Linked DNA regions of Macaca mulatta. The protein of the gene in region 1 purifies or fractionates together with the protein of each later gene. This does not show direct contact. Links are inferred from orthologs where the notes say so. Each region holds a gene or a part of one and is shown in the gene's direction. Other genes may lie near its edges. The genes, in order: STK11, COPS3, CDC37, FKBP5 and PIP4K2A.

The links.
Region 2: the proteins of STK11 (region 1) and COPS3 purify together in Homo sapiens (affinity purification with mass spectrometry; 5 studies listed by BioGRID and IntAct, with this or other methods). This does not show direct contact. The link is inferred for Macaca mulatta from reciprocal best matches to the Homo sapiens genes STK11 and COPS3.
Region 3: the proteins of STK11 (region 1) and CDC37 purify together in Homo sapiens (affinity purification with mass spectrometry; 8 studies listed by BioGRID and IntAct, with this or other methods). This does not show direct contact. The link is inferred for Macaca mulatta from reciprocal best matches to the Homo sapiens genes STK11 and CDC37.
Region 4: the proteins of STK11 (region 1) and FKBP5 purify together in Homo sapiens (affinity purification with mass spectrometry; 8 studies listed by BioGRID and IntAct, counting the BioPlex papers as one, with this or other methods). This does not show direct contact. The link is inferred for Macaca mulatta from reciprocal best matches to the Homo sapiens genes STK11 and FKBP5.
Region 5: the proteins of STK11 (region 1) and PIP4K2A purify together in Homo sapiens (affinity purification with mass spectrometry; 3 studies listed by BioGRID and IntAct, counting the BioPlex papers as one, with this or other methods). This does not show direct contact. The link is inferred for Macaca mulatta from reciprocal best matches to the Homo sapiens genes STK11 and PIP4K2A.

What each region holds. Positions count from the first base shown.
Region 1 is NC_133424.1:1,889,939-1,894,483, forward strand, and holds part of STK11 (serine/threonine-protein kinase STK11), read left to right. Parts: intron 1-62; coding exon 63-146; intron 147-992; coding exon 993-1,082; intron 1,083-2,338; coding exon 2,339-2,471; intron 2,472-2,546; coding exon 2,547-2,683; intron 2,684-3,178; coding exon 3,179-3,306; intron 3,307-3,900; coding exon 3,901-3,958; intron 3,959-4,545. UniProt on the Homo sapiens protein: Tumor suppressor serine/threonine-protein kinase that controls the activity of AMP-activated protein kinase (AMPK) family members, thereby playing a role in various processes such as cell metabolism, cell polarity, apoptosis and DNA damage response.
Region 2 is NC_133421.1:18,800,414-18,804,958, reverse strand, and holds the end of COPS3 (COP9 signalosome complex subunit 3), read left to right. Parts: intron 1-1,897; coding exon 1,898-2,011; intron 2,012-3,354; coding exon 3,355-3,435; intron 3,436-3,765; coding exon 3,766-3,819; 3' UTR 3,820-4,082; downstream 4,083-4,545. UniProt on the Homo sapiens protein: Component of the COP9 signalosome complex (CSN), a complex involved in various cellular and developmental processes.
Region 3 is NC_133424.1:11,129,486-11,134,504, reverse strand, and holds the start of CDC37 (hsp90 co-chaperone Cdc37), read left to right. Parts: upstream 1-1,926; 5' UTR 1,927-1,990; coding exon 1,991-2,092; intron 2,093-3,274; exon of another isoform or gene 3,275-3,497; intron 3,498-4,986; exon of another isoform or gene 4,987-5,019. UniProt on the Homo sapiens protein: Co-chaperone that binds to numerous kinases and promotes their interaction with the Hsp90 complex, resulting in stabilization and promotion of their activity. Inhibits HSP90AA1 ATPase activity.
Region 4 is NC_133409.1:146,648,776-146,653,320, forward strand, and holds part of FKBP5 (peptidyl-prolyl cis-trans isomerase FKBP5), read left to right. Parts: intron 1-2,994; coding exon 2,995-3,137; intron 3,138-4,057; coding exon 4,058-4,172; intron 4,173-4,545. UniProt on the Homo sapiens protein: Immunophilin protein with PPIase and co-chaperone activities. Component of unligated steroid receptors heterocomplexes through interaction with heat-shock protein 90 (HSP90).
Region 5 is NC_133414.1:23,999,087-24,003,631, reverse strand, and holds part of PIP4K2A (phosphatidylinositol 5-phosphate 4-kinase type-2 alpha), read left to right. Parts: exon of another isoform or gene 1-2,916; intron 2,917-2,947; exon of another isoform or gene 2,948-3,141; intron 3,142-3,843; coding exon 3,844-4,087; intron 4,088-4,545. UniProt on the Homo sapiens protein: Catalyzes the phosphorylation of phosphatidylinositol 5-phosphate (PtdIns5P) on the fourth hydroxyl of the myo-inositol ring, to form phosphatidylinositol 4,5-bisphosphate (PtdIns(4,5)P2). Has both ATP- and GTP-dependent kinase activities.

The sequences.
Region 1 (4,545 bases):
GGATCCGGGTCATCGTCCTGACATTGAGGTTGGCTGACACCCCCCTGTCCTCTCTGTCCCAGGGAAATTCAACTACTGAGGAGGTTACGGCACAAAAATGTCATCCAGCTGGTGGACGTGTTATACAACGAAGAGAAGCAGAAAATATATCCTTTCTGGTGTTGGGGCCGCGGGGCCTCCGTGGGAGGGGCTGGGGCCCTGGGTCCGCCTGCCCCGAGGCCTGCTCCCCTTCCTGTCTACTTGAAGGAGACTGGCACACAAAGGCAGTGGCCTTCCCTGGCTTCCTGGAAGTCAACCATTGTGGCAGCAGCTGAGCAGCTGCTGAAACGGGCCCCGAGCCCCGGCCCCTGTGTCCTGTGTCCTGTGTGCTGGAGCCATGGGGTGTCAAGACCCTATTTTCTCATAGTCTTCTCCAAGGCTAACCGGGATGTGGCCAGGGTCTGCCTGAGGCAGGCCACGCAGGCTGAATGTTGTGGGCCATTTTGGTCGTGGCTGAGCGTGTCCTTGTGTCATCGGTAGACTCCCCCCATGGGTCTTACGGGCACAGCTTCCCTACGGGGACTTTGCTTGAGGCCCTGTGCCCAGAGCAAGAGCAGAAGTGGTCCTGAGGCTGGGGCTGTGTTCAGAGTCACGCAGTCAGGGGCCGTGGGCCCCATCCTGTGTGGACCCGAGCCTGCTTGTGGGGGCGTCCAGGAGGTATCATCCCCCGCCCATGGGCGGGGTGGGGGACGTGAGTCCCGCAGGAACACTGCCCCAAGAGTCAGCCCTGTCCTCCACTCCCATGGAGGCTCCTTCCTCCCAGACGCTGGGGCCTTTTCAGAGGGGTGTGAGGGCAGGGTGGGCCCTGGTCCGAGGAGGGGCAGGGTGGGCCCTGGTCCGAGGAGGGGCAGAGTGGTTGCGGAGGGTCCCTCCAGAACCCCTTCTCTGGCCCCTGTGCTCTCCGGGCCTGTGAGTGGGGCCGCCCCCTGAGCTGTGTGTCCTTAGCATCCCACGTATATGGTGATGGAGTACTGCGTGTGTGGCATGCAGGAGATGCTGGACAGCGTGCCAGAGAAGCGTTTCCCGGTGTGCCAGGCCCACGGGTGTGTGCGCGGGGCAGGGGCTGGGGTGAAGCAGGGGCTGGGGGCCGGGCAGGGCAGGCTCCTTTCCCTGTGGCCACACGGCTTGTCCTGATCTTCATTGACATGAAGGCCCAAGTTTTTTATTTTTTTTGTTTTATTTTTTTTGAGACGGAGTCTCGCGCTCTGTCGCCCAGGCTGGAGTGCAGTGGCCGGATCTCAGCCCACTGCAAGCTCCGCCTCCCAGGTTTACGCCATTCTCCTACCTCAGCCTCCTGAGTAGCTGGGACTACAGGCGCCCGCCACCTCGCCCGGCTAGTTTTTTTGTATTTTTTAGTAGAGACGGGGTTTCACCGTGTTAGCCAGGATGGTCTCGATCTCCTGACCTTGTGATCCGCCCGTCTCGGCCTCCCAAAGTGCTGGGATTACAGGCTTGAGCCACCGCGCCCGGCCTTTTTTTTTTTTTTTTTTTTTGAGACGGAGTCTCACTCTGTCGCCCAGACTGGAGTGCAGTGGTGCGATCTCTGCTCACTGCCAGCTCCGCCTCCCTGGTTCACACCATTCACCTGCCTCAGCCTCCCGAGTAGCTGGGACCATGGTGCCCGCCACCACGACTGGCTAATTTTTTGTATTTTTAGTAGAGATGGGGTTTCACCGTGTTAGCCAGGATGGTCTCGATCTCCTGACCTCATGGTCCACCCGCCTTGGCCTCCCAAAGTGCTGGGATTACAGGCGTGAGCCACCACGCCCCGCCCTGTGAAGGCCCAAGTTTTTAAAAACAGTTTTGGGGACTCCTGTGTGTGGTATCCACGGGCAGGGCTGCTGTCAACCTCCTGCCTCCATCTTTGCTGGGCCTGCTGCCTGAGGCCGGCAGCTCACCCCATCCCGTCCCAGCAGCCACCTGCCCCGACCGGACCTCCTGGTACAGATCTGTTGGCTGCAGAGTCAGGGCCCCTTGCTGCTGCAGGACTGCAGGGGCAGGGAGGGGCCTGCTGTTTCAGCAAGCCTTTGGGGTGCAGCCGGCCTGTGGCCCACAGGGAAATGAGACCTGTGGACATCCGGGGCCCTGCCAGACGTGACTCGGCCGGATGAGGGTGGTCACTGCAGGCGCAGGCCTGGCTCCCTACTGGACCCAGCTTTTCCTCTGTCCTGTGTGCCTGGACCTCCGTGACTCCCCAGCTGGGCCTGTGGTGGTTGGGAGGCTCCCAGGCGGCTGCAAAGGGGACCCCTGTGAGGAACAGGGAGGCCTCGGTCCCAAGACAGGTGTGTGCTGCCCGCAGGTACTTCTGTCAGCTGATTGACGGCCTGGAGTACCTGCACAGCCAGGGCATCGTGCACAAGGACATCAAGCCCGGGAACCTGCTGCTCACCACCGGGGGCACCCTCAAAATTTCCGACCTGGGCGTGGCCGAGGTAGGCACGTGCTAGGGGGGGCCCTGGGGCGCCCCCTCCCGGGCACTCCCTGAGGGCTGCACGGCACTGCCACAGGCACTGCACCCGTTCGCGGCGGACGACACCTGCCGGACCAGCCAGGGCTCCCCGGCTTTCCAGCCACCCGAGATTGCCAACGGCCTGGACACCTTCTCCGGCTTCAAGGTGGACATCTGGTCAGCTGGGGTCACCCTGTAAGTGCCCCGGCCCCGCCCCGGCACTCGCCACACGCACAGCCCGGAGGGGCCTCTGCATCTTGGGCAGCTTCTGGCCTGTGGGTGCAGGGCGTAGCCACCAGCCTAGACCCTCGCTGACCACAGCCACTGGGGGTGCTTACTTTATGGAGACGTAGCTCACACGGCAGATGGTGGTTCACCCATGTGACATGCAGCCTAGCCTGTCAGGGATCTTCACAGAGTGTCACAACCAATCCTCCTCTCAGAGCCCCACAGGAAAGCTGGGCGGGTGAGAGTGGCTCCAGGCCCCTCCCCGGGTGGGTCCAGAGGACGCTCCTCTCTTGCCCCATGGCTTCCACTAGTGGGAGGCGGTGAAGACAGAGGTGTCCTTGAGTCCGCAGGGCCTGTGGTCCAGCAGCCACGCGAGGGCTCCGTCCCTGGGGCAGAGGTGGGGCTCCCGGGGCGTCGACCACCTTGACTGACCACACCTTTCTTCCCTCCCCTCGAATGAAGCTACAACATCACCACGGGTCTGTACCCCTTCGAAGGGGACAACATCTACAAGCTGTTTGAGAACATTGGGAAGGGGAGCTACGCCATCCCGGGTGACTGTGGCCCCCCGCTCTCCGACCTGCTGAAAGGTGGGGGCCTCGTCCCTCTGCCCACAGCCCCAGGGAGGCGGGGCTTTTGTGCAGAAATGCAGGGTGGGGGGTGTTAGGTGGGGGGCTATTGGCCCTGAGACCCCTGCAGGCACTGAGAGGACTGAGCGGAGAGGCCGGCCTCCCACTAGGGCCTGGTTTGTGGGTCCCTCAGCTCCACCCTGCTTCTGGGCCCTGTTCACCTTTCAACTCCCACCCCTGAGGGCAGTGCTGCCCTGCGCCTCCCCCAGCCCCGCCCTCGGGGGCTCCCTGGCCTGTGTCAGGCTCGTCCTGCTGCACTTCCTGTGTGTGGGCAGCAGGTGGCACTGGCCGTCTGTCCGTCTGCCCAGTGGCCTTGGGAGAATGGAACTGCCCTGCCTGTCCAGCCCAGCCCTGTCTCCCAGGCAGGCACGCAGAGGCTGTCCCTGGCCTGTCCCCTGGAGTCGCCTCTGTCAGGGAGGCCATCTCAAGGGGGCCCCCCTTGGGAGCATCCAGGTATCACCTGGGGCCTGACAACAGAGGCTGGTCAGGTGGGGATGATTGGTGGGGTCTCGGGCCTGTGCCTGGCTGACTGGCTCCTCGCCGGCTTCTCCTCAGGGATGCTTGAGTACGAGCCGGCCAAGAGGTTCTCCATCCGGCAGATCCGGCAGCACAGGTGAGCGGCCCCTGGGGGCAGTGGGGCCAAGACCACAGGGAGGCTGGCCACGTGTGCAGCTGGTTGAGTGGGCACCAGAGCAGGGCATGGTGGGGGTGCTGGGCTGGGGCCAGACCCCGTGCAGCGCCCGCAGTTCTCAGGGCCCAAGTGGGGTCTCTGGGCAGTGCCCTGTTAGTGGCCAGACAGGCCTTGTCTGAGCTGGGGTCTGAGTGAGGACGTGCATCCGTCTCTGCCCTAGGCATAGAGACACACCGGGAAAGGCACAGCTGGCCCTGAACGCTGGCGAGAGCCCCTCTTTTTACCCTCCTCCTGGGGCTCCCAGCAGCACGGTCTGGTTGGGATCCAGCCAAGGGCACCCAGCTCTGTGACAGGGAAGACAGCAGGCCCCGCAGTGCGACCTCCCTCGCCTCGTGGGCTCTGCTCCTCTGCACCAGCCCCTGGGGTCGCTCGAGCCCCGAGGCCCCCCAGAGACCAGCTCTGGGAGTGGGAGTGTCCGGACCCCTGAGGCGCTGGTGCCGATCGTCCCTTGGGGATCTCTGCGTAGCTCAGGGGCAGCTGGGAACCGGGCGGGTGCTGGGGCTGCCCCC
Region 2 (4,545 bases), on another chromosome or scaffold:
TAGAGAACTATGCATTTTATATAATATGTATTGGGCTGGTTGCTGTTTCACTAACTGGCATCTATCCCTTCCAGAGCTAGAGAGGAGTAGGCCAGCAGTTTCACTGCTAACAAATGGACAAGTGATTATCACCGTGTGGAACATCTTGTTAGAAATTAAATACCTGTTTGGCACTTTTATTGGTATCTCACTTTTTGACTTCATGGGCAAGATTTGGCTTTGAGGATCAGTCAAATAAATCCCCAGTAACTGATGCAAATAAATGATATATAGACCTTGAATCTATCTTGGAATCCCCAGTGGTAGTGAAGTTATCTTGAAGAATCAGAGGACAGTTTCCACTGGGATAAAATGAAAACCTGTCAGGCTTTACTTTTTAAAGTACAGTGGCCCAGCCTGGCCAACATGGCAAAACTTCATCTCTACTAAAAGTACAAAAAATTAGCTGGGCATGGTGGCATGCACCTGTAGTCCCAGCTACTTAGGAGGCTGAGGCAGGAGAATCCCCTGAACCCAGCAGGTGGAGGTTGCAGTGAGCAGAGATCGAGCCACTGTACTCCAGCCTGGGCGACACAGCGAGACCCCATCTCAAAAACAAAAGGCAATGTAAATTATATCTCAGTGCAGTTGATGTTGAAAAATGCAAGGGCACCTCAAACACATCATGCTAAGGGAAGCCAGACCACAAAAGATTACATAGTGTATGATTCCATTCATATATCCAGAAAAGGCAAATCCATAAGAGACAAGAACAGATTGGTGGTTTCCAGGGACTGGGAGGAAGAGGAGGGAATGGGGAGGGACTGCTGATGGGCCTAGGACCTCTTTCTGGGGTGATGAAAACGCTTCAGAACTAGAGATGGTGGTTGCACAACATTGTAGAATGCATTCAGTGCCAATTAATTGCTCACTTTAAAATGGTAGGCCAGGCGTGGTGGCCCATGCCTGTAATCCCAGCATTTTGGGAGGCCAGGGCGGGTGGATCACTTGAGGTTAAGAGTTCAAAACCAGCCTGGCCAACATGGTGAAATCCCGTGTCTATTAAAAATAGAGGCCAAGGCGGGTGGATCACTTGAGGTTAAGAGTTCAAAACCAGCCTGGCCAACATGGTGAATCCCATGTCTATTAAAAATACAAAGAAATGGCCAGGCGCGGTGGCTCATGCCTGTAATCCCAGCACTTGGGGAGGCCGAGGTGGGTGGATCACCTGAGGTCGGGAGTTCAAGACCAGCCTGATCAACATGGAGAAACCCCATCTCTACTAAAAATACAAAATTAGCCAGGCGTGGTGGCGCATGCCTGTAACCCCAGCTACTCGGGAGGCTGAGGTAGGAGAATCGCTTGAACCCAGGACGCGGAGGTTGCAGTGAGTGAAGATTACGCCATTGCACTCCAGCCTGGGCAACAAGAGCGAAACTCCATCTCAAAAAAAACCAGAAGACAAAAAAATTAGCCTGGCATGGTGACAGGCACCTATAATTCCAGTTACTTGGGAGGCTGAGGCAGGAGAATTGCTTGAACCCGGGAGGCAGAGGTTGCAGTGAGCTGAGAACGCACCACTGCACTCAGCCTGGGGGAAAGAGCGAGCCTCCATCTCAAATAAATAAATTAAATTAAATGGTTAATTATGTTGTGTGAACCTCACCTCAATAACAAAAATGCAGGGGCAGGGATTTTGTGTGTGTGTATCAGTTTTACACCTCTTAGCATCGATAATGCTGCCTAGCAAATAGTAGGTATTTAATAAATACTTGGATAAACATGGCACTTAAAAATATACAAGTTTATTTATATCCATGTTGCCTTCTATGCTTCTCTCTGATTATACTGGATGACTATTCATATAGCATTCAGATCTAAACTGCTTTCCTGTTTTGTTTTGTTTTTTTTTTTGTAGATAGAAGATGGTGAGATTTTTGCAAGTATTAACCAGAAGGATGGTATGGTCAGTTTCCATGATAACCCTGAAAAATATAATAACCCAGCCATGCTTCATAATATTGATCAGGAGGTAAACATGAATGCCAGGTTTTTATTTTTTTAATTGATGGTCGAGATGTATTTGAAATACTGCTTCTATGTTCCAGGATAATTTTAGTTTTAAGTACAGGTAGTTCCCAGTCTATGAACATCTTAGTTACTAGAAAGTTAATTTCAAAATGGGCTGCTTAAGGACAATCGCTTGAACCCTGGAGATGGGGGTTACAGTGAGCCAAGATTGTGCCACCGCACTCCAGCTTGGGTGACAGAGCAAGACTCTGTCTCAAGAAAAGCAACAACAACAAAATAAACCCAGAATGGGCTGCTTAAAACTCTTCCAGGCTGGGTGTGGTGGCTCACGCCTATAATACCAACACTTTGGGAGGCTCAGGTGGGTGGATCACCTAGGTCAGGAGTTCAAGACCAGCCTGGCCAACATGGCAAAACCCTGTCTCTACTAAAAAAGAATAAAAAATGAGCTGGGTGTTGTGGTTTGTGCCTGTAATCCCAGCTACTCTGGAGGCTGAGGCAGGAAAATCTCTTGGAACCTGGGAGGCAGATGTTGCAGTAAGCTGAGATCGTGCCACTGCACTCCAGCCTAGGCAACAGAGGGAGACTGTCTCAAAAATCAAAACTCTCCCAGATTGTATGGCTATAAATAAATGGTGGGTTAGATATCCCAGCTAGCTTATCAAAACCTCCCTTAACTCTGAAAACACTTAAAGGCCCTAGTATAACTTTATCTATTCACAGCTGCCACTTAAAACATAGAGCCTTGTGTTTTTGCTGAAATGTCTGGAGTTCCAGGTTGGGAGATCAGGAAACATCTCTGGAGCTATGTGAGAAGCAGAGCCGGGGTGGCTGGAGGAGAAGAGCAAAGCCCTCCCTGACAGTCCCCTTCAGGCAACACTGGGCTGCAGCCTGTCTCCTGAGGGCATGCTGTCCTGATTCTGGCGGCTGAAGGGGGCGTTTTGTGGGTGGTCTCTGTTTTTTACCTCTGAGCAGTGAACTGAACTGAATATTAAATCTCAGAAAACTTTTTTTAAAACAATTTGATCGCAAAATGTCACCTGAAATGGTGTCTAGTCTTCATTTTGATCTCAGTGTGAATATACTCCAGTTTCCCTGCAAAAGATACTATGTGTTTGATTATGAGGTTTGCCTAGATCCTGCTGGGTGGGATGTTGGGTATTATATGGTACATGTATTAGCTTTCTGAGTCCAAAATACGCTGGCTCCAAAACCCATGTGGCCCCAGGGGTTTCATGTCAAGAGATTGTGAACCTACAGCGCCCTTGTGAACAGTCGAAGTTAGAAAGGATGCAGCTGACCTAAACCTGCTGCTGACCACCTTCTAATGTGCCTGTCATGCAGATGCTGAAGTGCATAGAGCTGGATGAGCGGCTGAAAGCCATGGACCAGGAGATCACAGTGAACCCTCAGTTTGTACAAAAGGTGATGAGGGTTCCCCTTGTTATAAGAAGTAGGCTGGGTGGAGAAGGAGGGGCGTTGTCACATCAGGCACAGGAATTAAGTTTCAGGTTACTAAATATTTCTTGAAACCCTTACCAGTACGGTCATGGAGAAATACTAGTTGAGAGCATTTTCAAACAATGGCCTGGAAGTACACTTAGGGATGCTTAGGGTGGTTCCTGGAATTGCCTGCCCTTGTTCACAGGGTGGCTTTGTTCTGGGAGGGACAGGGTAACTGGTGTGCTTATTGGGCTGCTGGGGAACCCTCGATAAAAGCAAACATAAATACATAACTTCACTTTCCCTTTACAGAGTATGGGCTCACAAGAAGATGATTCAGGAAACAAACCATCCAGTTATTCTTGAAACTAACATCCATCCTGAGCTAAACAAGAGAAACTACCATCTTGGCCAGTGGCAAGTGTTCGGAGGGCAGCAGAGAGGACCAAGCCTGTGTCACCTGGAGACTAAGAAATTAAGTTTTGTTTTGACATCTTCAGTCCTATGTGCTTTCAGAAAACCATTCTCTCTGCAAAGAAAGGAAACAGATTTGCAAACTTTAAAGTCTGTCGTGGATTTATTTATCCTCAGATTATTGTTATTGCATTAAATCTACCTTTTTGTTTTAAGTTGCTTGAACATTAATGTTTCTTCTGCATCACTTTTTTGTCCTCTGAAAAGTTTTTAATAAGTACATTCATTGTGAACAGAAATAGTTGGATTTTAGGAATTTTTGGAAGATTTGAATCTGAAAGTTGTTTTATTCATTGACAAATTTGTATCTTAAAAAAATATAAAAGTTGTCATCAGTGTCTTCAGAAAATAAAAAGAAAAAAAGTCCAGACAGACAGACATAGTGGCTCCCACCTGTAATATCCTAGCACTTTGGGAAGCCGAGGCAGGATTGCTTGAGGCCAGGAATTCAGACCACCTTGGTGAACATAGTGAGACCCTGTCTCTATTTACGAAAAAAAAAAAGAAAACAAAGGATAGCGTCCCTGAGGCATAAGTTAATTTTTAAAATTAAAATTAACATGCATATTAGTAAGAATATGAGTTGTGGATTATGAGATGCCATTGGTGCTTCACTTT
Region 3 (5,019 bases), about 9.2 Mb from region 1:
CCACATCACAGGCAGGAGACACATAGCAGGGTTTGCACCGATGGGGGGTGGGGTAGGGACCGGGGACAGAGCGACAGTGCAAAGCAACTTAGGGGTCTCTCTCCTCAGTCCCCAGGGCTGGAGGTGCTGTGCTGGCAGATTAGGAAATGCTCGGCGTTGATGGGGAAGCTTCCGGCGCCCTATCCCCGGTTCTGGAAGCTGAGGCTCCGGGAACGCTGTTTTGCTGAAGCTGGGCAGCTCCAGTCTCCAGAGCCAGGAAGAGACCCCCGCGCCGATCCGGGAATCCCTGACATCTCGGATTCTCTCCCAACACCCCCATGCTGCTGACCGGGCCGAAGCCCTGAAGGGCATACGGTGGGGGTGGGGGTATGGCTTTCTTGGGGAGCCGGGGAACTCCCTACAGTCCTGGCCCCCTCCCACCATGGCACCGGGTCCCCCTCCCCACCGCAGCTCGCAGCCCCAAGCTTACCTTGCGGGGGGGCTGGGGAGGGGATGCCCCGCCCTCTCTGGCCTGGGGGGCGGGAGGGGACGGGGGTGTCCAGACCCTTTGTTTGCTGGTGTGTGTGTATGTGTGTGTGCGATTGTGAGAGCCGCCGGGGTGTGGGTCCGTGCGCGCGCGTGCCCGGGCCGTGACAGCCACTGATGTGCTGGACTGCCAGGGTAGAGGTGAAGAGGGAGGGGGAGGAGATGGGGACTCCTCCGCCCCTGGCCGCCCACTCGCGGGTTTGAATGAAGCGCGAGGGGGAGGGGCGGCAGCGGGAGGGCGTTTTTGTCCGATGGCCCCTCCCCCTCCATGCACTGGGGAATTCCCCCCATCTGGAGACTTTCGCTCGCTCTCTCCGGGCACCGCCTGCGACGTCGGCTCCAGGGGAGACTGGGAAGAGGCGCCCCTCACCCGAGTGGCTGGAGCTCCTCCTATCCAGCCTGACCCCCGATGGAGCACCCTTTAATCTAAAATAATCCTGGCCCGAGACTGCAACGCGGCCTATTATCCTGGTATAAAAGCGCGGATTGGGATGCGTGGAAGTGTGAGGCCAGGGCCCTGCATGCTTAGAGTAATGGAGTCCTTAGAGCCCCGGCGGAGGAAGGGTACCCCCAGACAAACGGGGAGGGACTATGCGTGACCCCAGACTGTGACGAAAAGGAAAGCCCCCTTCCACCCCTCCAAGATTCCCCCACCAAGCGCGGGACCAGGAATACGCGCCGTAGGCTAGACTCTAGCGACACCCAGCGGTCACGCGGGGTGGGGCGCCGAGACCCGTTATGGGGGGTCCGGGTGATTCCAAAGTGTGTGTGTGTGTGTGTGTGTGTGTGTGTATGTGCGCGCGCGCGAGTCCTTGCTGCTAATGGCCGGAGCTGGAGGACGAGGAGAAGGCTCCCAAGGCAGAGCCACAATCTCCCCTCTATGTTTAACCCCTCAAGGGGAGGGCCATACCACCCTCGATTTAGACACCCCCAGGGCAGGTCCAGTCCTCCTCGGGCTGAGAAAGTCCCAGGAGTCGTCAGGCGCCCCTCTCCAGAGCAGGCTTAGGTCCCCGTTTACGAAGGGCAGGGGGAGGGCCTTCCCGCCGTGTCCGTACCCCTTGCAGACGTCACTGCGGCGTAGCTGAGGGGACAGTCCTCTTAGTCTCATCAACCGTCCTCTCCCTGCCACCCCAAACGCCCACCGTGGAGAGGCGGGAGATGAGGGGGGCTAGGAGTTGAAGTGCCCACTCGTATGCCCCCAGGAGACCTAGCGGAGCCCCTGCGCCCGATAAGGTGGAGTCTCTGCGGGAACTCCAGGGGACTGGAACGCTTGCGCAAGGCCCTTTAAGGCAGAATGGGTAGCCAGTGCCGCTGCCGCGGTTACTAGGGATGTGACGTCAGGCATGGGCGGGGTTTCCCCCGCACTCGGGCGGAAGCGGAAGGGGCGGGGCTCCGCGCACCAAGTCTCCAGCGCCGCCGCCGTCGCCGCCAACCGAGCCGTAGCGGGCTGGGCCGCCAAGGCAAGATGGTGGACTACAGCGTGTGGGACCACATTGAGGTGTCTGATGATGAAGACGAGACGCACCCCAACATCGACACGGCCAGCCTCTTCCGCTGGCGGCATCAGGTAAGGCGCGCGCGCCCATCCCTTTCCCCACTCCCGGACCCCGCTCCAGAGTTGTGGTCCCCGATACTGCCTAGGGACCCCACTGTTCACACCTAGGATTCTCACCCCCTCAGTCTGGACTTTCAGGAGCCTCGATTCAACTCCAGGACCCCAGTACCACTGGTACCCTGAGTCCTTGCTCGGGATCTCCCCCCAACCCCCTGCTCCGATTTTTGCGTGGGATTCCCTATTCACCCCCTAGAACTTCTTCAGTCTGGACTCCCTTAGACGAGTCTCCCTAATTCTGTTCGGAGTTAACATTTACACCCAGAACTCTGCCTCAAAGTTTGGTCCCCAAATTCTTCTAGATGATCCCTCATCCTATTCGGGTATCCACTCCCTATCTGGGATCTCACGTCGCCCTCCCCCACCTCCGTAGTCTGGACCCCCAATACTTTGGTCTGTCCTGGGATCTACTTTCCGGGATCTTGATCCGGGGTTCCCATTCAGATCCGGAGTCGCCACTCCTTTTCTAAACGGTACAAGGAACTCTGTGCTACTCTGATATTCCTGTCCCTGCCCACACCCGGGACCCCCTTCCTAGAGTGTAGAGCCGTCCCCCTTCAGGATCCTTAGTCTCACCGAGGACTTCGGTTGTGGAACCTGGTTCCCCTCTGGATCTAACTACCAGCTCCACCCCGACAGAGCCTCACATTCCAGCCTCTCCTTTGGCCTCGGGTAGACCCATTTCCCATTAGACCAGGAAATCCTGCCCACGTGGCTTCCGGCCCAGCCAGAGCCCCTGCCCCTACTTGGTATTGCAGACCCTGTCACCACCCACCTCCCAGACTGGCTTCCTGTATGAGCCTTGGCCAGCATTGGAAACTCCCCTAACTCAAGCCCAGGACCCCAAACCCACCCCACCTTGTATCCCCAACCTGATCGCTACTCTGTGACCCAAATTGTCCCTGCTCTTTTCCAGGGACTCCTGGTCTGATTCTAAATTCACTACCCCTTCTTCTATCGGACCACAACAGAACCCCCAAATCCAGACCCCAGAATCCCAAGTCTGAGTGATCCATGTCCTACCACCCCCTCAGTGCTCACAAGCCAATGGGGTGACTAAGACTTAAAGGTTTAACCTCCTGCTACCCCAAATCACATATCAGTGTCTGTTGTACTCTTTTTTTTTTTGAGATGGAGTTTCCTTCTTGTCGCCCAGGCTGGAGTTCAGTGGCACAATCTTGGCTCACTGCAACCTCTGCTTCCCGGGTTCAAGCAATTCTCCTGCCTCAGCCTCCTGAATAGCTGGGATTACAGGCATGCGGCACCACGCCTGGCTAGTTTTGTACCTTTAGTAGAGACGGGGGTTTCTCCATGTTGGTCAGGCTGGTCTCGAACTCCTGACCTCAGGCGATCCACCCACCTCGGCCTCCCAGAGTGCTGGGATTACAGGCGTGAGCCACTGCACCCAGCCATGTTGTACTCTTAAACTAAGGGCATATACCTTTCAGAACCTTCTAGTGAGGATCTCTTACCCCACCCTCTCATAGGACAACTCCCCATCATTTATCCAAGAAACAACTAGAAGTTCCCTTCCCCATCATTTTGGAATACTCCAGAATACGGCATTAGTCTCTTTATCTAGCTCCCAGTCCCACCTCCAGACCTCTTCCTTAAATCCTGAGTCTCCTGGGTAGTGTACCTGCCAAGCAAGCCACTGGAGTGTGGGAAGAAAGTTCTAGCGCTTCTATTTCTTGCCGTGTGTAACATTTTATTATGAAATATTTAAGACTTCCACAAAGCTCCAAAGACTATTCTTGGGAAGACCTATTTCTGTCACATAAAGAGGTTAATCTTTACTACTGTGGAGAATGGTTTGGTCCTGCCGAGTGGGAGGGCCCCCCTCCTGCAGCGTAGTGTACCTGCCACACCCTCCTCCCTCTGGCACGGAGCTTTTCCTGTCCTACCGCTGAGAACCCGGTGGTTGTAGTGGCACGTAAGGGAGGCAGGGGGCTTCAGCGTCTCCAGCACAGGTTCAAGGACAGGCAAGCTTGCGTTCCAATCCTAGTCCTGCCTCTTGCTGCTTCTTTCTTTCTTTGATGTGGCAAGACTCAGGCCTCCCTGATCCCGTATGAAACCTGGGATACTATGACCCCACCTCCCTGAGACTTTTGTAAGAATAAATTAAGACTGGGCAGGAAAACTTGGGGCAGGTTTGGAAGGAAGCATTGTGGAGGGGAAGGAGAGATCGCTGTGGTTCTGAGCACAGGCCTGACTAGGTTCAAATCTCAGCTCTGTGTATCACTCACATGCTGCGTGAGTGCCAGGGAATTGTTTGATTGCTCTGTGCCTGAGCACCTGAGAATCTGAATGATGTCCACCCCATAGGGTTGTTGTAAGGGTTACCTTATTCGTTTAATATTTGTAATCCTTTTGGGGCAGTAGCTATTACCGTCATCATCATTTAAATAATTTTTGTGAATGGTTAAAAAAAACTTCCACAGCCACATGTGGGGACACATGCCTATAGTCCTAGCTACTCAGGAGGCTGAGGCAGAAGGATCATTTGAGCCCAGAAGTTCAAGTCCAGCCTGAGCAACATAGCAAGACCTTGTCTGTCTTTCTTTTTTCTTTTTTTTAATTTTGATTTGTTTGTTTTTTGTTTTTTTTTTTTTTTTTTTGAGACAGGGTCTTGCTTTGTCACCCAGGCTGGAGTGCAGTGGTGCCATCTCGGCTCACTGCAACTTCCACCTTCCGGGCTCAAGTGATCCTCCTATTTCTGCCTCCTGAGTAGCTGGGACCATAGGTGCACACCACCATTCCTGGTTGATTTTTGTATTTTTGGTAGAGACAGGGTTTCACCATGTTGCCCAGGCTTGTCTCACACTCCTGAGTTCAGGCGATCCACCCACCTCAGCCTCACAAAGTGCCGGGATTGTAGGTGT
Region 4 (4,545 bases), on another chromosome or scaffold:
ACTCCAGTCTGTGTGACAGAGCAAGACCCTGTCTCTTAAAAAAAAAAAAAAGCCATTTTATAAAGACAGTTGGGCAATAACTATCAAATTTAAAATGCATATCACCTTTGCACTTCCAGGAATTTACCCTCCAAATATACTTATGCAAAGTAGGCAAACATAAATGGACAAGTAGTCTCATTAGATTATTGTTGGTAATATATGCATCAATAGGAGATTGTTGTATTATACACCCAATAATGTTTTTCCTTTATCAAATACATATTATGTGCCAGGCACCATGCCGTGCATTTGATGTGTTTTGTCTAATAATTCTTAAAACAACTGAAAACATATGGCAAGTACTGTTATTATCTACATTTTGCAGGTGAGGAGACTGCAGCACAGAGATTAAGTAACTTGCACAAGTTTACACAGATAGTAAAAGGCAAACTTGGTATTTAAATCCAGGTAGTCTGAGGTTAGAGTATGCTGCATTTTTGACCTCTAAAATGTACATCCTCCTTTCTACTGTTGGAGAAAGAGGATGAAGATATATATTAAATGAAAAAGTAGTTTAGAACTGAATGTCTAGGTCACTGTCATTTGTGTTTTAAATTTTTTTAAAAAGGTACAGCACACAGTAGGATACCAAAGAAACAAAACAGTGACTTATAAGGAACAAATGGATGGCCTTTCTGCTTTGACTTTCCATCTCTTTCATGGGTGTTTTAATAATAGGCATGTATTACTTGAATAATTTTTTTTTTTTTTTTGTAAGAGACAGGGTCTCGCTGTGTCACCTAGGCTGGAGTGCAGTGACATAATCATTGCTCACTGTAGCCTCTTACTCGTGGGCTCAAGCTATTCTCCTGTCTTAACCTCCAAAGTATCTGGAACTACAAGCATGTGCCACCATGCTGCACTAATTTTTTAAATTTTTGTAGAGAAGGAGTTTCACTGTGTTGCCCTGGCCGGTCTTAAAACTCTTGGGCTCAAGTGGATGCTCCCACTTGGCCTCCCAAAATGCTGAGATTACAGGTATGAGCCACTGTTCCTGGCCACTTAACATATATTTTTAACTGAAATAAATGTAGCTTACATTTGGAAAAGTTGTAATATTTAATGAAGATTAAGCTAAAATCATGAATGACAAATGGTTTATCCATCCCTGCTTACATACGGTTATGTAGGGTTTCACTTGTCCTAATATCCTACCACCAGCTCACTTCAAATTCACTTCCTCTGGGGTTCATCTCTTATCTGATCCCACTTTGAATACTTACATTTTTGTTTTTGTTTTTTGAGACAGGACAGGGTCTCACTCTGCTGCCCAGGCTGGAGTGCAGTGGCATGATCTCAGCTCACTGAAACCTCGACCTCCTGGGCTCAAGCAATCCTCCCTCTTCAGCCTCCTGAGTAGCTGGCAAGCACCACCACGCCTGGCTCATTTTTTCAATATTTTTTTGTGGAGATGGGGTTTCACCATGTTGCCTGGGCTGGTCTCAAACTCCTGAGCTCAAGAGATCTGCCCACCTTGGCCTCCCAAAGTGCTGGGATTACAGGCGTGAGCCAACGTGCCCAACCCCCAGATACTTAATGTTTTTGATTAACAAAGTACCTCATTTGTAATGTAGCCTTTTTTTTTTTTTTTTTTTTTTTTTTGGGACAGTGTCTTGCCGTGTTGCCCAGGCTGGAGTGCAGTGGCATGATCTCTACTCACTGCAACCTCTGCCTTCCAGGTTCAAGTGATTCTCCTCCCTCAGCCTCCCAAGTAGTTGGGATTACAGGCACATACCACCATGCCTGGCTAATTTTTGTATTTTTAGTAGAGACGGGGTTTCACCATGTTGGCCAGGCTGGTCTTGAACTCCTGGCCTCAAGTGATCCACCCGCCTTGGCCTCCTAAAGTGCCAGGATTACAGGCGTGAGCCACTATGCCCCACCAAAATGTAATTAGCCTTTTAAATTGCCTGAATTTTCTATTGTTTCCCAAAGGACTTGATACTGCTTACAGTAAGATAATGATGCACATCATAGGAACTGTAAACATTGAGATTACAATTATATAGCCTAATATAGTCCTACAATTGAGCAGTAAATTTAACTTAGTTTCCTGGAAGTAGGCAAAAAATAAAACATTTTAAGTTCTGTAGTTGTGGTTTGACAAAAAGACACATACGTTTTTGTTTAAAGAAACCTTTTTCTGATTCTAAATTTCGAGAAGAAATGTGTTTCATAGACCCTTTTATGCAATTTATATTGTTCTGGTTACTTCTTGTTTTGTTTTGTTTTGTTTTTGTCTACCCAACTAAATTACAAGCTTCCTTAGGACAAACTCTATTTTTCAATACTATTTTTGTTCTATCTTTGCCTAGAAAATGTGTGCTTATTATAGTTGAAATGATAAATTAAGCAACAGTTGCAACACAGCCATATTTCATGGATAATGTTACCACCAGTTTTCAAAGACTTAATTTTTGAGTAGTTTAGGAATTTATACTACTTTCATCCCTTTCAGCAGGGAATCCTTTTTGAGACAGGTCTCACTGTCACCCAGCCTAGAGTGCAGTGGCATAATCTTGACTCACTGAAGCCTCAACCTCCTGGGCTCCCGGGCTTAAGCAGTCCTCCCACCACAGCCTCTGGAGTAGCTGGGACTATAGGTGTGCACCACTATACCCAGCTGTGTTCCTTGGGGGTTTTTTTTGTTGTTTTTTTTTAAGAGATGAGGTCTTGCTATGTTGCCCAGGCTGGTCTCAAACTCCTGGACTCAAGCGATCCTCCCACATCAGCCTCCCAAAGTGCTGGGCCGATCAACAGGGAATCTTTTATGATAGCCTTGAAATAAATAAATATTTATTTATTTGTATGTAGCACTCGGTCATCTTGTAGCCCATACTTTCTAGCTGAATATGTAGTATGAAAAACTGGAAATTTGAACTTTTGTTTAATGAAAGTTAAATATTTTTAAATAGGGCTGATAGCTTTCAACTACCTTTTCCTTTCTCTTAGGCCAAGTTATCAAGGCATGGGACATTGGGGTGGCTACCATGAAGAAAGGAGAGATATGCCATTTACTGTGCAAACCAGAATATGCATATGGCTCAGCTGGCAGTCTCCCTAAAATTCCCTCGAATGCAACTCTCTTTTTTGAGGCAAGTATGTGTGTGATGTTGCCTTGTCAGCATCTGCTCTACAATAGGAATGGCTTTGAAGCAACAGGCAGTGGGAAAAGGAGCTATAGAGAATCACATCCAACTTACTTATTTTGGAGCATGGCTTCTTGGATTGTTTCCCACAAACCCAAGGGTGCACGTGCCAGTGCTTTTTGAGAAACGTATTTCCACCACAAAAAGGTCATATCCAAATACGCAAAAGACACTACACTTAGAAATAAAGAATCTGGTCCATGGTGTGAGTGTGACATACTCAAAATTGACCAGAATGCAGGATGGAAATGTTGGCAATAAATGTTGAAATATGCCTATGTCAAGTTGCAGGGTATTTTCATATTATAAAGGTTTATATGTCACAGATCTCACTTCTCTAGAAGTGTTTGATGGTGATAAAACATTATTCAACCTGTGTTGAAATTACATATATTTGGCAAAACTTGATTTTTAAGAACTACCCCAGCTAGGTAAAATATACCTTTAATCAGTCATAGGCCACATTCATGAAATTTATGTTTACATTTTGAGAAGGGAACTCCATAAATCCAGGGTGGGAAAGTTGTGGCCTCAGACAAACTGTTCTACACCAGCACCTTGTAAAGCTCTGGGTTTTTGCCCACAGGGTAGTGTTCCTAGTATTTCCTGTCTCTGCACCGCAGTCCCTTAGGATATAGTCCTAGACATTATCATTATGTGAAATTCTTTCCAAGTATGGAAAAGTATAGTGGGTTTTTTTTTTTTTTTTTTTGCTACTTTTCCAATAATTAAGATGCATAAATGAATGTATACATTTTGAAACAGCTTTATTTTGTAAAATGAAATAATTGGTTGCCCTTGCCTTCACATATGTTAAATTGGCTTTATTTGGTCTTTTCTCATCTGAATTCCTTTTTTCTTTCTAGATTGAGCTCCTTGATTTCAAAGGAGAGGACTTATTTGAAGATGGAGGCATTATCCGGAGAACCAAACGGAAAGGAGAGGGATATTCAAATCCAAACGAAGGAGCAACAGTAGAAAGTAAGTATTAAAGTAAGAGGGAACTAGTCCTTAAAAGTTGGACCATTTATGTGGACGAAATGGAGACTTAAAAAAAATATGTTTATGGAAATGAACATATCGGCTGGGCGTGGTGACTCACGCCTTTAATCCCAGCACTTTGGGAGGTGGAGGCGGGCGGATTGCCTGAGCTCAGGAGTTTGAGACCAGCCTGGCCAGCATGGCGAAACCCCATCTCTACTAAAAATACAAAAAACTAGCCAGACGTGGTGGTGCATGCCTGTAATCCCAGCTCCTTGGGAGACTGATGCACAAGAATCACTTGAACCGGGGAGGTGGGGGTTGCAGTGAGCCAAGATGGTGCTACTGCACTCCAGCCTGGGTGACAGAGCGA
Region 5 (4,545 bases), on another chromosome or scaffold:
TTGAGGCCAGGTGTTCAGACCATCCTGGACAACATAGCAAGATTCTGTCTCCACACACACACACAAAAATTAACTGGGCATGGTGGTGCACCTCTGTAATCCAGCTCCTCAGGAGGCTGAGGCGGGAGGATCCCTTGAGCCCAGGAGTTCAAGGCTACAGTGATCTGTGATCACACCACTGTACTCCAGCCTGGGCAACAGAGCAAGATCCCATCTCTTAAACAAAAAGAAAACATGTGCAATACCCATTGCGACTGCAATTTCCTCAGTCTTCTTGGGTGCCTTAGAACAGCTTCTTACCTAAAGATACAGTTTTCATCACTGAGCTTCTTACCTAGAGATACATTTTTCATCACTGATGGTTTTTGGGTTGTGCTAGGAGTTGACTGCACCTTTATTTCTTCCTCACTGGAAGATGAGAATAAGCAGTCTGACCACAGGCCTGAGGCCCAGGAAAATTACTCTGGGCTGCCCAGTGTGGCGAGGAGCCCAGATGGGGTGCCAGGGGAGGCTGAGCCCTGAAGGCTCACCATGGTGAGTGCGGCTTTTCAATCCCAGTTGTCCCCTTCCCTCCCTGCCCTTTGGCAAATTAATCGCAGACAGCCCCGACTTCTGTAACTAAAACACACTTGAAGGTCAGCCCGTAGACCTTCCTCTTAAGGGAAGCGTATTAAATGGTCGCCTTGCGCTTCCTTCCGAGAGATGTTGCCTCATGCAGCCTCAGAAAGGTTTTCTGTTGTTGCTTTGTTGTTTGTATTTGCCTTTAGTAGTTATTTCCTGGTGGAAGCAGGTTGGGGACAGTTAGGGAGAGCTGGGGGGACAGATAGGGATAAAGTAGCAGGCAGCCTATTCTCTTGTCCAACAAGTGCCGCATACTTTCCTGAGCCCTCTGCCTGCTGGGAGTCGGGAATGCAGTGAAAGCCAAAACTTTAGAGCCCCTTTTGAGAGGCTGCCTTGCTTGGGAAAGAGAGAAGTTTTCAAATACTCCAGCAAAGTGAATGTGCAACGAGGCCATGTGCCTCTGGGGAGGGAGTGTACGGTGCCCTAAACACCCAGACTCCGGGGCTGTGCTGCTCTGTGTGGTGCCCTGCCGCTAGGCCTGAAGGCACAGGAGGAAGTACCTGCCCACAGGGAAGAAGCCCAGGAAGCGGGCAGAGCAGGGCTCAAGTGGGCTCCAGATGTGGATGGGGCCAAGCTATCCAGGCCTTCTGGACCATGTGAGTTTTGTTTGTGCCCCGTGAGAAACGTGGCACTATGGAAATGTCTTAAGCAGAACAGGATGTGATCAGGTTCACATTTTGAAAACTTGTGCCCTTTGCAGAGGACTGGAGGGGAGGTTGAGGCACCAGTCAGCCTTTGCCACTTCACAGGGACCTTCCAAGCACCCAGAGGGAGCAGGGATGGACAGGAGGGGGGGCCTCTTCCCTGTCACTGCTCAAGCTGAGCAAGGCCTGGCCTGGCTCCAGAGAGGCTTCCAGGTGTAGGGAGGGAGGCCAGGGAAGCCGTAGATCCAGGGAGCAGAGCCAGGCACCATGCTAGGCTTGGGAGGGGCAGCGGAGGTGGCGAAGGAGACCCTGGCCTAGTCCTCCAGGAGCCCAGAGGCCTTGGAACAACAGGGCAGGGAGAAGTGGGCCCACCATGAGTGCCCCCCACACACACCCCTCAAGCGTTGGAGAAGACTGGGTACTTACGCTGCAGTATTTTCCAAATAGGCTTCTGAAACCCCAGGCCCGCAGGGCATTCTGACAGGGACGGGGAAGCAGGTTCCATGATCACAGCGGTGCCAGGCGTGCTGCTGCTGACCACCTAACCGGTAGTCCAGAGACCCACAGCGCCGAGTCACGTGTGGAGGGCCTCCTCCGATGCCAGCTGATTTTAACTCATTACCTTCCTCCTAGGGTTGCGAAAGGAGAGGGGAAAGCTGCTTTCAGGCAGCCTCCAGAAGTAGCTGATACAGAGCAGAGAGTGCGGGCTCAGAACGGGCCCTGAATTCACCCCTCCTTGGATTTGAATCCTTGCACTCTCGTCCAGCTGCTGAATCTGGCTGCTGTCTCACACGGAGAGCCTGCCCCCTGCCTTGGATCTTGTCACCTGTCTCTATACCCTGGAGTGCCCAGTTCTCTTCCAATCCACAGGCCCATATACAGCGGAGCTGTACCCGAGACCCAGCTCCCTGGCTGGCTTCACCGCGCTGGTGGAGGACTCAAGTGAGCCTTCCACCACTGCAGATTTCTCCCCACAGCCTGGCAGCTGCCGAGATTCTAGAGCAGGATGCTGGAAAGGAATCTGGCAGAGGGAGGTGCAAGTGGAAAGTTGGTTCTCATGTTTACTGTAATGGGGGAGTTTGGGGAAAGGCCAGGGGGATGAGCGGTGGCTTCCTCTCCTCTCTGGGCCCCAGAAAGCTGAACGCAGGAGCCCCATGCTGTTTCCACGAGGGGTTTGCCTCTCTTTTTAAACAAACAGGTTTCTCCCACTTTGCTTAAATATTTGAGTGTAAGATTTGTATAATTTCTATTTTCTGAGCTCGGAACAAATGGGGAAGATGTAGCTGGCCCCGGGGGATTCCTGGTGGGAAGGCTGCAAAGTGGGAGCTCTGGCCAGTTTGCGGGGCTGAGCGGGATGCTGGCTGATGGAGAATTGCAGGCACTGGGAACCAGCTGGAGAGTGGGACAGACCTGTGCCCAGGGGTCCTCTCCTCATCTGTAAGGAATCAGGGCTTCTCATTCAGTTTCGAGACAAAACTCCTTCCCAGCAGGCTGAGGAGAAATGGCTCTGCGGGGCTCAACAAATTGATTTCATTTTTAGCCAGAACTTCAAGACCTGTGATTTTCTCTGCTTGCCCTTTGCATGAGGACATTTGCTTCCTAAATTCTATCAGCGTAGCCCAGAGGCTGCTCAGCCACTCTGCATTCCCTAGTGAGGTGGCGCTGAGTCCTTCCAGAGCCAGGACCGTGAACCTTCTTGGACCCCGAGCCCAAGGTCACAGTGGAACAGGACCCTGTGCAGAGCCAGCCAGCCACGGGGCCAGGGGAGCCAGTTGGGTCCAGCCCACAGATGGGCTGCCACTGTTTTCAGTCAGCATAACCGTCCACATTTTATGGCATTATTGGAACGTTGTGCTGAAGGTCTCAAATCAGAAAAGGGAAACAAAAAGAAATCGTGATCTGAAAAGTCAAAAAAGAACTGGGCAGACAGGAGTAGCCAAACACACAGAGCTGGGTCTTGCCCCCACATTATGTTGTAGCCGCGGCTGGAGGAGGAGAGGGAGGACAGGAATCCTGGGTGTGTGGGGCCTGGTGGAAAGCACCTTGTTGACCCGGACAGGACTGCATTGCTCACCAGAGGTGGACACAGTGCCTTTGCTTTTACTTATTTGCAACAGCGTAACGATCGCTTCCGCAGCCGCAGAGTGTGCTGAATTCCAAGGTGCTTTCCCGAACCACAGCAAGAGACTCCGCTGGAAGCTACTTGGGAGGTGCCTGGGTTTCCCCCTTAGCCTGTCTTAATTGTTGGAAGGAACTTGCTCTCCCTCCCAGTCTCTCTCTGCATCTCTCACTGGTCATGCTTCCTGCTCTCTGGTGAAACCCAGCCACCCTGTGATAGATCCACGCCTCTCCGCCTCCAGTGTGGCATTCCAGGGAAAATGGCCCGAGCTCTGAGCCAGCCTGAAGTGTGAGGCTCCACTCCGGAGTGTAAGAACATCCATAAAGGAGGCACCGGGCGCCTCTGCTGCCCCACTCCGCAGCCTTCCCTCTGGGTGTCACCCGAGCTTGTCTCCTTTTTTTAAACGTTGACTTTTATGTTTAAGGTGTGGCTGACTGACCCTGTCTCCTCTGTCCCCAGTTTCTGGCCCAGCTGAAGCTCATGGACTATAGTCTGCTGGTGGGAATTCACGATGTGGAGAGAGCTGAACAGGAGGAAGTGGAGTGTGAGGAGAACGACGGGGAGGAGGAGGGTGAGAGCGACGGCACCCACCCGGTGGGGACCCCCCCAGATAGCCCCGGGAATACACTGAACAGCTCACCACCCCTGGCTCCCGGGGAGTTCGATCCGAACATCGACGTCTATGGAATTAAGTGCCATGAAAGTAAGTTTGATTACTGTGGACCCTTTTTCATGTGAAGTGGTTTGACTTTGGCCTTGTCATCTACCAGGAATCACTACCCCAGTTATGAGGGTGCTGTCCGGCAGCACTCATCCTCCAAACTCCAAAGAAATGGATTTGAGGACAAGAATATGTTAAAGGTAACCGTGATCTCAGTGATGAAACATAAGGCAATTGGACCTTTGAATTCTGTGATGTTGAGGGAAACAGCAAAACCACAAACTATACTATACATATACAACACACCTGTACATATGCACATACACACTGGCATACAACACATGTTCATATGCACCCATACACAAACACCAGAAATGCTTTAAAATACTAATACATTTTTGCTTAGTTATCTTTTTTATCTAAGTCAAAAGCATCATGAATCTAAGGAACACACATGTGGTCCTCTGTGACCCTTAGGTTGTCCTCTTGTCATCACCACC